Coturnix japonica: one gene and its partners. The protein of the gene in region 1 interacts with the protein of each later gene in a biochemical or structural test. Links are inferred from orthologs where the notes say so. Each region holds a gene or a part of one and is shown in the gene's direction. Other genes may lie near its edges.

Region 1 (3,971 bases):
TCTTCCTATTGGCCGCCCGACTGCGCTGCTAGGGCGGTGGCGGCGCCTTCCGATTGGGCCTCCGCCTGGCTTCGGGGGGATTCGGGTGCGTCCGTAAGGGCTTCGCGATTGGTTCCGATCCGTCACAGGCATTTCCGTAACCGCCTCGGGATTGGTCCCGACGACGCTCGGGTATTTCCGTCAGGGCCTCGGGCTGGGGGCTAACGAGTGCGTCGGGCGCTTCGGGTGGCTATTCACAGAAGGCGCCTAGGGCCGTTCCGCAGCGTAGGGCGGCGACGGGCATAGGCGGCTGCGCGGCTTTGGCGCACACACAGAGCGCAGCAGCGGGAGCCCGGCACGCAGCGGAGGCAGCAGCGGGGACAAAGGGAGCGACCAACAGAAACGGGGAGGGGGGCCCGGCGAGAGGCAGCCGGCGCCAGAAGGGAGCGGCGGGAAGCTTCAGCCGGGCGGACGGCTCCTCATGCGCCTCGGACGCCCGGGGAAGCAACAGCGAGAGCCGCCGGCGCTCTGAAGCCGGCTGAGGACGAGCTGGGAGCCAACGCCGCCGCCATGGCCCGCACCGCCGCCGCCGGCCACCGCCCGCACTGCAGCCTGCCCAGCGTGAGCCGCCGCCAGCTGCCCCTGCGGGAGCAATGAGGAGCCGCGCCGGAGCCGCCTCAGCGCCGCACTGAGAGCACACACACACACACACTGCGAGCCAGCCGGGCACACCGCGCCGCTTCACACCGCTCCGCCCGCCGCGGATCCCGCCGCCGCCGCCGGATCCCGTTGCGCGGGGCCGCATCGCCTCCCGTCGGCGGATCCAGCAGCTCCGAGATCCCTCCGCCGGGGGAAAAGTAGTCCCGCCGCCTCCCTCCCTCAGTGGCGAAGGGGGAAGGAGAGGAGAGGGCAGGAGGCAGAGAGAGGAAGGAGGCGAGGAGAAAAAGAAAAGAGAGAGAGAAAAAAAAAGAAAAAAGGCAAAAGACATAAAGGGGAAAAGGAGAAGAGAGAAGCCGAGCGGCAGGATCGGAGGAGCCGGGCCGCGAGCCTCCGCCCCATGTGACTGGGCTGAGGGTGGGGGCAGCGAGGCCTAGCACCGAGCACAGCCCCGCTGCTCGCGGCCGGCCCGGGGGGCTGCGGCTGGGAGGAGGCGGCTCTCGGACCCACCGGCACTGCGGGAGGATGGCGCTGTGAGCGCCGGGAGGAGCGAGGCCGGAGAAGAAAGGAGACGCGAGGAAAGGCCGGCGGGGAGAGCGAGAGGGGAGGGGGCTTCCCCGGGGGGGAAGGGGCCGGCGGTTCATGTGGCACAGCTCGCCCTTCGCCTCCCGCTGAGCCCGCAGCACACAGCCCCGCGAGCAGCCCCGAGGAGAGCGGAGGAGGCGGACAGCCCGACGGGACGCAGCCGGAGCCGGAGACCATGTCCGGGCGGCCCAGGACCACCTCCTTCGCGGAGAGCTGCAAGCCGGTGCAGCAGCCCTCGGCCTTCGGCAGCATGAAAGTCAGCCGTGAGTATCGGGCCGTTCCCTGCCGCCCTCCTGCCCTGCCTCGCGTTCGTCTCGGGTGGGCCGCGAGCTCGGCCGGGCCTGCGGGGGACACAAAAAGGCCGCTCCCGGCCCTGCCCTCGGCCCCTGCCGGCCGTGCCGTTTCGCCTCCGCGGGGGGCTCCTCGGGGTTACCAGCACCCCTGTTCTGCCTCCTGCCTCGGGGAGGAGGGGATGAATGACGGGCACGCGGGTACGGCCGTGACATTGGTCCCAATGAGGTGTTTTGTGCCCTCTGAAGGAGGGAGATGGAAGAGGTGGGGGGGGAGCTCTGTATCAGGTGTGGGAAGCCCACGGCCCGGCCTATTAAAGGCGGAAGAAAACGGGGGGCTATTACAAAGGCCGTCCGAGGGGGTTACAAAGGGTGTATCATACGCTGCTAATGATCCCCAACGGGAGGGAGGAAGAAAATCCTCATTGTGGCTTGCGAGTGGTTGTTTCGAGCTGCCTTGCCCAGGTTTTCTCAACGGGGATATTTTGAAGAACGAGGCCTGTGCTTTATTCCACACGGGCATGCTGGAAATGATCGGTGCTTGATGGGTGCCCACCCTTTGCATTGCAGCTGGTGGGCTCGGCCACACTATATGAATGGAGAATGGGCATTGCTTCTCGGTACGACCAGAGAAAGGCCCAGCTGCGGGTCACCTACAATGAACTATATCTCTTGAATGGCAAATAATTCCTGAAGGTTTCTTTGAATACGTGCCTATTAACAGTCAGATCATTGCCGATTCATGCTACGGGCTTTGTTTTCAGTAATATTCCCCCCTTTTTTTTTTCCCCTATGGAAATGGAGGGCTGGGTCTTTATGGGACCTGGAGCGCTTGATGGGCGTTAAGGTTTGATTGATCCGTTTGATATCCCGTGTGGTCACACCTGGCACTGCTGTGTGCGGGTTTGGTTCTTGGTGTTGGAGGCTTTTCAAGCCGGGGCTCTGCCCGGCTGGGGGTTTTTTGACAGATGAGAGAAATTCTGACGTTTTTCTGCATCAAAATGTACTTCCGCTGCGGTTGAAGCCTTGAGGAGAATATTGGGCTGAGGTTCTGGAGCTGCTGCTTTGTATCTGCATGATCAGGGTGCCTGCTGCACTCCGAGTGCCCTTTATACTCTTATATGCTGCTAAAACGGGTTGTGTTTGATCTGGTTCAAATGTATTAAAGATCTTAATTCACACGGGGGGGGAGGGGGGAAGGGGGAATATTTAAGACTCCATTTTAATGTATCGATTTATTTCACGTGAGCGTGGAATAGGAAGCAGGTTTTGTCGCTGGGTATTTCTGCAGGTGGCTGTTTAACGCTATAGCCACACTTAGCCCTGCCACGCTCCAAAGCTAAATTTGCCTTATTCGAGCTGTACGGCTCGATTCTTGAAAGGTCATTGATGCTCCTTTCCTGTTTGTTTGAGGTCAGAAACCAGACAGATGCTCGCCTTCGAAGCGGGTGCTAAGTGATGCAGACTAACAAGTTTGCAAATACGATTTGATCCCAAGTGTGGAACACGGAGGGAGAAACAAAGGCCGTAGCATAAAGCACACGCACTTGTGATAACCCCCCCCCCCAGCCCCTCCTCCCCAGTCGCTCTAGTCATGTGCTCCTGGTCCTTCTGCTGTCTGGAAAAAAATGTCAGAACAAAGCAAGAGAACCGCATGCAAGGACTGTGTGGGAAAGGCAGGCGTATTTTTCACTTAATCTATCCGTGTAAGACAGTGCAGGAAGTTTCGACTTCTTATTTTCCTTTGTAAGAGAGCAGCGCCACTGATTGCCAGAAAGGGTGATATTTTACTGGTTCTCTTGAGATTGTGAAGCAGATGGAAATGGATGGATTGCTGCTCTTTGAGTCCTGTAGGCAGCTGTTGTATCCCCATCTTGATTCAGACCTTCTCCAGGTCACCAGGAAGCAAAGCCTATCCTCTATGCCAGCCTTTTTGCTCGCCTTTGTAAGGCTGGGGTGGTGGTGAAATGAGGTGGTGAGGTCACGCTTGCTTTGGTGACCACCTTCTAGCTGATCCCGGCAGTAGTTCCATTCCTTTGAAAGGATTCAAAGGACGAGGTGGAAGCATTGAGGAAGGAATGGAGGAGGGTGTGTTGGACCTTGTGTTAGAGAGCTGGAGTGTGGTGATTGCTCTTCTGCTCAGGATATGGCAGGCTTAGGCCCTGGAACAGGCTGCCCAGTGAGGTTGTGGATGCCCCGTCCTTGGAGGTGTTCAAGGCCAGGTTGGACGGGGCCCTGGGCAACCTGATCTAGTAAAGGTGTATGTTTGGTGGCCCTGCCAGGCAGGGGGGTTGGAACTACATGATCCTTGAGGTCCCTTCCAACCCGGCTCATTCTGTGATTCTGTGAAAGGGGGGAGTGGCCATTGACTTTTCCATCTTTTTAGACTTTGTGCTCGGAAGTTGTTGAGAAGCTTGAGCCTTGAATGGAAGGGGATTCCCATCAGGGTCTTGTCCTCTG
Region 2 (3,500 bases), on another chromosome or scaffold:
TTTTTCACCTGCAAAAATCTGCCTGAAGGAAATTAATAAATTCTAGCTTTGAATTCATGTCTTTAGGTGAGGGAATTTGAGGTTTTCCTGAATAGGAAAGGATTGATTGTAAACGTACAATAGAAACTGCTCTAAAAGATTGCGAAGATGAATAGATTTGTACTGGTTTGCCTGGTTAGATCAATGATACCTGTCAGATCTTTTTCTTTATTTGAATTATGCCACTATTTTAAAGTATCCTTGATGTGGATTTATGCAAACAAACGGTGAGCAAATAGATTTCTGTATCAGAAGACTTCCTTTGTTGAGACCATGTGAATGAATGTGTTTTTCCTTGACCTGTTGAACTACCTGTCCTTTCTTCTATTAGTTTTCCAGAATGAGGTTCTGGGTACATTACAGAGGGGTGAAGAAGAAAACATTTCCTGTGATAACCTAGTCTTGGAAATCAACTCTCTCAAGTGAGTGTCCCCTTATGAAGATACTGTGTTCTGAATAGTTGTGTTTGTCAGCAGATTGAGAAAGAGGAGAAATCACATGGATATTCACGTTTAATTATTGCATATAGATTATTGCAGAAGGAGAAATGCAGATCAGAGATTAACTCCCACCAACGTTCAGTCATAATGCATCTGTAGCTTCCTCAGTCATTAAGCTCTATTAGCCCCATTTCTGTAGGAGGAGGTGGAATTACTGTTTAGTAACTATGGACCAAAAGAGAGAGCAAGCCAATTCTTAGCACCGATTTCATGCAGGTTCATGTAGGAACTGCAGCTCTTTGCATTGCAGCGCTCAACCAGCTGCCTGCAGCTGAAACTGCTGCGGTGTGGCTTGTCTACTGCCTTTATACAGCAGCAAGTCTGGAACATATAATCAGAGTGCCTTTTACCTAATGTTTCTTGAATACGAACCTGTTTTCCTTCTTTTGCGCAACAGTATTCATACAGCACTCTAGTAAACATGAGGGTGCTGTCCCTGCTGCAGCTCGTTCCTCTGTGATAGCAGATTTTCAGGACTTTTGGTCTTACACAAGGCGGGGAGGGAAGGAGGGGAGTGTGACAACCTGGAAAAAAACAAAGAGCAGAAGATTTGACTTATGTCTTCCACTATGTCTCTGTGAGGAACCGTAATCTGCAAAGATAAGGTTCTGTGGATTGTTTGTTGGATGGTTTCTTTTGTCTTTTTCCTTGCAGGTATGCATATAACATCAGTCTGAATGAGATGATGCAGGTGCTCAGTAAAGTGATTCTGGAGTTCCCATTACATCAGCTGGATGCAAACCTGGACTCCCAGAAGTATTTCTCAGCATTACTTCCTGTGAGTGCTGCTCCATTTGACTCTTCTTGGGGCTTGTCTTCTGGTGTGTAGGAGTCTGCCTGAGGTACTTCCTGGTTGATAAGTCTTTTTTCTTAAGCCTGAAGCCACTTGAACTCCTCAGGTTTGTGAGCCTCTTTGTCTTCTAAAGAAGTAAAAATGAGCTGACATTTTTGTACCTGCTTGATAGAACTCTATTCAGACTGCAGGTGTGAGGAGCTCTGCTTCAGTACCTCTGATTATTGCCTATCTTCTGTGTGATAGTAGAATGTGTAATTTGTAGAAGAGATCAGAGAGGGACTGATAGAGTTGTCTTTATGGGGCTGCATTCCGGGAACCAGATTCCAATCAACCCTAAATCCTTTCCTTGGGGCAGCAGGGAGCTCTTGTCTCCCAATAGGCTCTTTCCCAAAGCACTGGAAAATTTAGAAATAAGGAAGTAGTGTGGGACCATGTCAAAGGCCCTACATAAGTCCAAATATATGACATCAGTTGCCCTTTCTTTGTCCACCAATGCTGTCACTCCATCATAGAAGGCCACCAGACTGATCAGGCATGATCTGCCCTTGGTGAAGCTGTGCTGGCTGTCTCTGGTTACTTGCACATCTCACATGCTCCTAAATTCCAGGAAGATCTGCTGCATAATCTTCCTAGGCATAGACGTGAGGCTCACAGTCTCCGAAAGCTCCTGTTTAAAGAATGGCCACCAAGGTTCTTAGAGCAGTGAACAACTTGCAGTTGCTTAGTTGGTAAGAAGTACAGTCCCTTAAGTTACTGATACTTACATCTTAAGAGTCCCAAGCACTGGCTTGGTGTGGGTTAGTGCATAGTGAAAACATAGCTGGAGTTTGTAGCTGTGCAACTAAAGTGGCCTCAGTCAGTAGTTCTATCAGGCTAAGATCTGCTTATAATGGCTTATGTATGGCAAAGTTATTTTGTGTGAGATGGGAATATTTGAATTGTGAGAGTCTCGAATATTGGAAGCCTAGTGAGCTTTGGTGAATTGAGTCGCATTTCTTACCCTCCTTGTAGCTCAGTTTTGGTGAGGAGATGTTAAAGGAAGGTGGGTTGTTTGTGCAATAGCAATGGTGGAGCAGTCTCAGACAGCTCAGATGGGGAAATTGTGGAAGTGCCATAGTTATGATGTATGATTTGACTTGAAACCACAGTATGGCTCCTGAATATGAAGCTCCTCAGTGTTGCAACAGTTTAAGACCATCAGGTAAAGGATATGCCTGTGGGTATTTTTCAGGTGAGGTGTAGAGGTCTGAGATATAGTTGCCCAATTTGAAGTTATGCCAGTTGTCTTGTTTGGCTCTTGTACATGTTGTAAAGCAGAGAAAGTACAGAAAACATGACCCTTCCCAGACTGTAGGTACACCTTGGGTGACTGTGGCTGAAGTTGCTGTGCTTCTGTTGTCACCAAAGCAGTATCAAGTAAAGTTATGTAGGTGAGGGTGTCTGAAAAGATCTAGGGGAGGCAATTGTAGCAATTCACCAAGCTCATGCTTGGGCTTCTCAAATCTGAGTATTAGTAATTGCTGAGCTGGCTGGTGTTTGCACTACTGCCCAGCAGCCAGCATCTATGGTGCATCTCTTCAGGTTTCTGGTAGGGATCCTTCCTCTCTGTAATATCATGCAAGGGTACACAGCATGGGATCGTGCATTCAGGGAACAAATGGATGTAACAATGAAAAATGCTTACATGGAAGCTGGTAATTTTCTTGGCACTCTCTTTTTCTTCTTTGTTGTTATTTGTTCTTCTGCTTCAAAAGAAAGTTCCACTAAAACATTAGCTGGTTTTTGGTGGGATGCTTGAGAGCATGTACAAACCGCTCTGTATTAGTCTGCTCTGAGGTGATGTGAAGTCTCAGTTAAACATCTTTATTGTGATAATCCAGTATTCCAGTCAGGGAATCAAAACCAAGAACACTAATATGTTCTCAAGGTTGTTTGGTAAAACCAGGTCTTGTTATTATATCTCATGTGAGCAGACATCTGTTTAATGGACAGAGGAGGGCAAGTGCATTAACTGGTTGACTGAAGAGTTTTGTAAAATGCTTTTCTGGGCCAGTTTCTCAGCACAGCACGGCTGAGAGGCTGGGTTGAGCACACAGATCCATCTCATAGCTCAGGAACACTTCTGTGCTTTCTCCCTGCAGCTGTTGAAGAACTGGACCCCGTTG
Region 3 (3,500 bases), on another chromosome or scaffold:
CTGGCCATCAACCTGGCACTCAGTGCTGTCAACCTCGCCGAGTGCGCTGGCGACGCCGTCTCGGTGGCTGCGTTGGCTGAGATCTACGTGGTGGCCGCGCTGCGCATCAAGGCCAGCCTGCACCGCTGCTTCCACTTCCTGGCTGTGAGTCTGTCCCCCCTTGGTGTCCCCTCTGTCCCCCTCCTGGTGTCCTCTTTGCAGAGCCTGGTGTCACATCCTCCTTGCCCACCTTGGGTCCCTATATCATGGACTCTTACCCAGGCATATCTCCCTCCAGCGGCCCAACATCCTGCCCCCCTCAGCCTCCATGGGATCAGTGTCCTCAGCCCCATCCCTGTAGCCCAATGCTGCACATCCCCCTGCCCTCCCAGTTCCCACTGACCCTCGCTTTCCCTGCAGCGCCCCTTCCTCTGCAGTGCCCGCCGCGTGGCCCTGTCCCATGGTGGAGCTGTGCCCCCCGCCATGCAGTGGCTCTGCCACCCCTTGGGTCACCGCTTCTTTGTGGACGGGGACTGGGCCGTCAAGGGCGTCCCAAGGGAAACCATCTACAGCTCCGCCGGTGACCCAGGTATCCCCCAGAGCCCCAGAGCCCCACTTTGTGGCTGATGGTGGGGTGGGTGCTGACAGCTGCTCTGTGCCGCAGTGGACCCGTTGGCGCAGGTGACCCAGCTCTTCCGTGAGCACCTCCTGGAGAAAGCACTGTACTGCGTGGCCATGCCTGAACCCGGCCGTCCTGCTGCCCAGGGAGAGGGGTGAGTGTGGGGTGGGTACTGGGGGGGTTCCCCTTCCCTCTGCTTGTGGTGGGGATGGCCCCACTCACGTCCCTTCTACCAGAAGGCGCTTTTCGGATGCGTTGGAGTACCTTCAGCTGCTCAATGGCTGCTCCCATGCCAGCAGCATGCCTGGCCCTACGCCCTCCATCAGCTCCGGCCTGGCAGCAGTGACAGGTGAGGCCAACATCCCAAACCACGGGGTCTTCCCCCATGGAACCTGCTCCAGGGATCCATCCTGTTGGGTTGAATGGTCTTCAGAAGTCCCTTCCAACCAACCACTATGGTTCCGTGCTTCTGTCCCTGCAGGCACCGATCCTGTGTCCAAGTGGTGGGCATCCCTCATCGGCACCATCATTCACTGGCTGAAGGATGATGAGGAGGGGGCTGAGCGGCTCTACCCGCTGGTGGAAGCCATGCCCCGGGCACTGCAGAGCTCTGAGTGAGTGCTGGGGGCAGTGGGGCTGGCTGGGTGACAGCTTCTCGTGTCTGTTCCTTTGTGGGGTGACTTGATGCAACCCGCTGTCCTTGTGCAGGAAGCCCCTTCCCCGTGCTGCACTGCACTCCTTCAAGGCGGTCCGGGCCATGTTGAGCAAGCAGGACGGCAGCCAGGCCAGCCTGAGCCACTGTGAGAAGGCCAGCAGCTGCCTGCGAGAGAGCCTGGAGTTGTGCAGCCCCCCCAAGTGCACCATCGACAAGGTGAGGCCAGGGAGGGGACAACATGCAGCCCAGCTCGGGGGAGCGCCCGGCCCTCGCAGGAGGCGTCCCTGGCCCTCGCGGGGGTGCATTGTAGTTGCATTGCATGTGTCAGACTGGGAGTGCAATGCCCCTGCCATGCAGCCCGGCGGGGGTCCCGCACAGCGCCTGCCTGCCCGAGAGGGCCCTGGAGGCGCACCCCATCCGTCTGCCCACCCTCTGCTCACCCACTCCCCCATATCTGACCCCTTTCCCACAGGCGGTGCAGCTTTTACTGTGCGACCTGCTCCTGGTCACTCGCACCAACCTGTGGCAGCAGCAGATGAGTGCCAGCCAGCAGCTGCGTGGCACCTACCAGGCGTCTGCCCTGGAGCTCCGTGGCTTCCAGCAGGACCTCAGCAGCCTGCGGCGCCTGGCACAGACCCTTCGGCCCGCCATGCGCAGGGTGAGCCCCCTTGCAACCCATGCACAGTGCACTCCAACCTGCCTTCCTCATCCCACCCCATCCCACCCCATCCCATCCCACCCCATCCCATCCCATCCCATCCCATCCCATCCCGTCCCATCCCATCCCATCCTATCCTGTCCTATCCTGTCCTATCCTTCCCTTTCCAGGTGTTCCTGCATGAAGCCACTGCCCGGCTGATGGCCCGTGCCAGCCCCACGCGCACCCACCAGCTGCTGGACCGCAGCCTGCGGAGGAGAGGGGTGCAGGGCAGCAAGGCAGGTGGGTGAGGGGGGCAGGGACACCCCACCAGCTGCACCCCCATAGGGCTGGGGGGTGGGGGGTAGTTTCGGCGAGGGATCCATTCTGGGGTGGTCTAACTCATCACCACCGTGCTCACTGTGTCCCCAAGTGCCACATGTAGCACAGCACACGGGGGATGCTCAGTGTCCATCCCTTCTCTCTGTCCCCGCAGCCGGAGAGCCGGAGAGCCACCCCACGCCGCGGGAGCACGCCGAGGCGCTGCTGCTGGCCTGCTGCTACCTGCCCCCCAGCTTCCTCTCGGCCCCCGGGCAGCGCGTGGGGATGTTGGCTGAGGCCGCCCGCTCGCTGGAGAAGCTGGGGGACAGTCGGACACTGCACGACTGCCAGCAGATGATCATCAAGCTGGGCAGCGGCACCACCGTCACCACGGGCTAATGGGGGATGTGGGCACTTGCCACCTGTCCCCCCTCCCACCCCGCTCCGTGCAATACGGGTGGTGGGGACTCCCTATGGGATGGTGTCATGGTGCCGTGTCACCATCCGCTGTGGGTGCTGGGGGTACATCCCGGTGTGGGGCACCCTGGTGGCTTCTGTCCCTGTGCCCAGCACAGTTGGGTGACGGGACGTGGGGACCTCTAGTGACACTGTCACAGTATTGCACGGCACTGAGCTGCCTCCTCCCAGTGCCCGACACCCCCCTGCAAAACCCCAGCGCAAGTTTGGGGCCGTCCTCACCCCATTCTGCTGCGTGTCCCTGCCCCTCCCCGTGGGTCCCATAGCACGGGGTTAGTGGGGAGGGGAGGGACACCTCAGCACTGTCCCCATTAGGGGAGGGCAGGTGGGTTTGCCCCGCGGTGGCAGCTAAGATGGCACCATATGGTGTCCGTGGTAGGAAAGAGGGGCCCCCCCTGCCCTCCCCTAGCACTGCCCATTCCCCCCATTAAGAGCTGTACCCCCTGCAGCCCCAACCCCACGCGCTTTGGGAGAAGGGGTGGCTCTGGACTGGGAGGTGGAAGACTGGTGGGTGCCCCCGTCCCCTTGCTGCGCCCCTACTTTGTACATAGCTCCCCGCTGTGCCCCACCTCACCCTTACCCCCTCCCCTCCCTTGCCTTTTTAAACGGTATTTTCATAGCTGCAGAGTTTTGTACAGTGAATTAAAGCCAATTATTTATACTGTCGTGTGCTGGACTGGGGGCGAGGGGTCTGACACGTGGAGGGGGGGCACAGAACATAACCTATGGGTTCTGCCTTCACCCCAGCGTGAGGCTGCACAGGATGGGGAAGGGGGCAAGGGTGGCAGGGATGGGGACATTGGCTGCAGTAG

What was found. The genes of interacting proteins can lie anywhere in the genome.
Region 2: of the proteins of GSK3B (region 1) and EIF2B5, one has a biochemical effect on the other in vitro, tested with the Homo sapiens proteins (2 studies listed by BioGRID and IntAct). The link is inferred for Coturnix japonica from reciprocal best matches to the Homo sapiens genes GSK3B and EIF2B5.
Region 3: the proteins of GSK3B (region 1) and SREBF1 form a complex in vitro, tested with the Homo sapiens proteins (2 studies listed by BioGRID, with this or other methods). The link is inferred for Coturnix japonica from reciprocal best matches to the Homo sapiens genes GSK3B and SREBF1.

Annotation. Positions count from the first base shown.
Region 1 is NC_029516.1:71,650,950-71,654,920, forward strand, and holds the start of GSK3B (glycogen synthase kinase-3 beta), read left to right. Parts: upstream 1-1,171; 5' UTR 1,172-1,396; coding exon 1,397-1,484; intron 1,485-3,971. UniProt on the Homo sapiens protein: Constitutively active protein kinase that acts as a negative regulator in the hormonal control of glucose homeostasis, Wnt signaling and regulation of transcription factors and microtubules, by phosphorylating and inactivating glycogen synthase (GYS1 or GYS2), EIF2B, CTNNB1/beta-catenin, APC, AXIN1, DPYSL2/CRMP2, JUN, NFATC1/NFATC, MAPT/TAU and MACF1.
Region 2 is NC_029524.1:13,792,502-13,796,001, forward strand, and holds part of EIF2B5 (translation initiation factor eIF-2B subunit epsilon), read left to right. Parts: intron 1-370; coding exon 371-461; intron 462-1,193; coding exon 1,194-1,317; intron 1,318-3,476; coding exon 3,477-3,500. UniProt on the Homo sapiens protein: Acts as a component of the translation initiation factor 2B (eIF2B) complex, which catalyzes the exchange of GDP for GTP on eukaryotic initiation factor 2 (eIF2) gamma subunit.
Region 3 is NC_029529.1:4,932,036-4,935,535, reverse strand, and holds the end of SREBF1 (sterol regulatory element-binding protein 1), read left to right. Parts: coding exon 1-144; intron 145-399; coding exon 400-568; intron 569-643; coding exon 644-752; intron 753-834; coding exon 835-947; intron 948-1,079; coding exon 1,080-1,212; intron 1,213-1,306; coding exon 1,307-1,469; intron 1,470-1,725; coding exon 1,726-1,911; intron 1,912-2,081; coding exon 2,082-2,193; intron 2,194-2,386; coding exon 2,387-2,610; 3' UTR 2,611-3,353; downstream 3,354-3,500.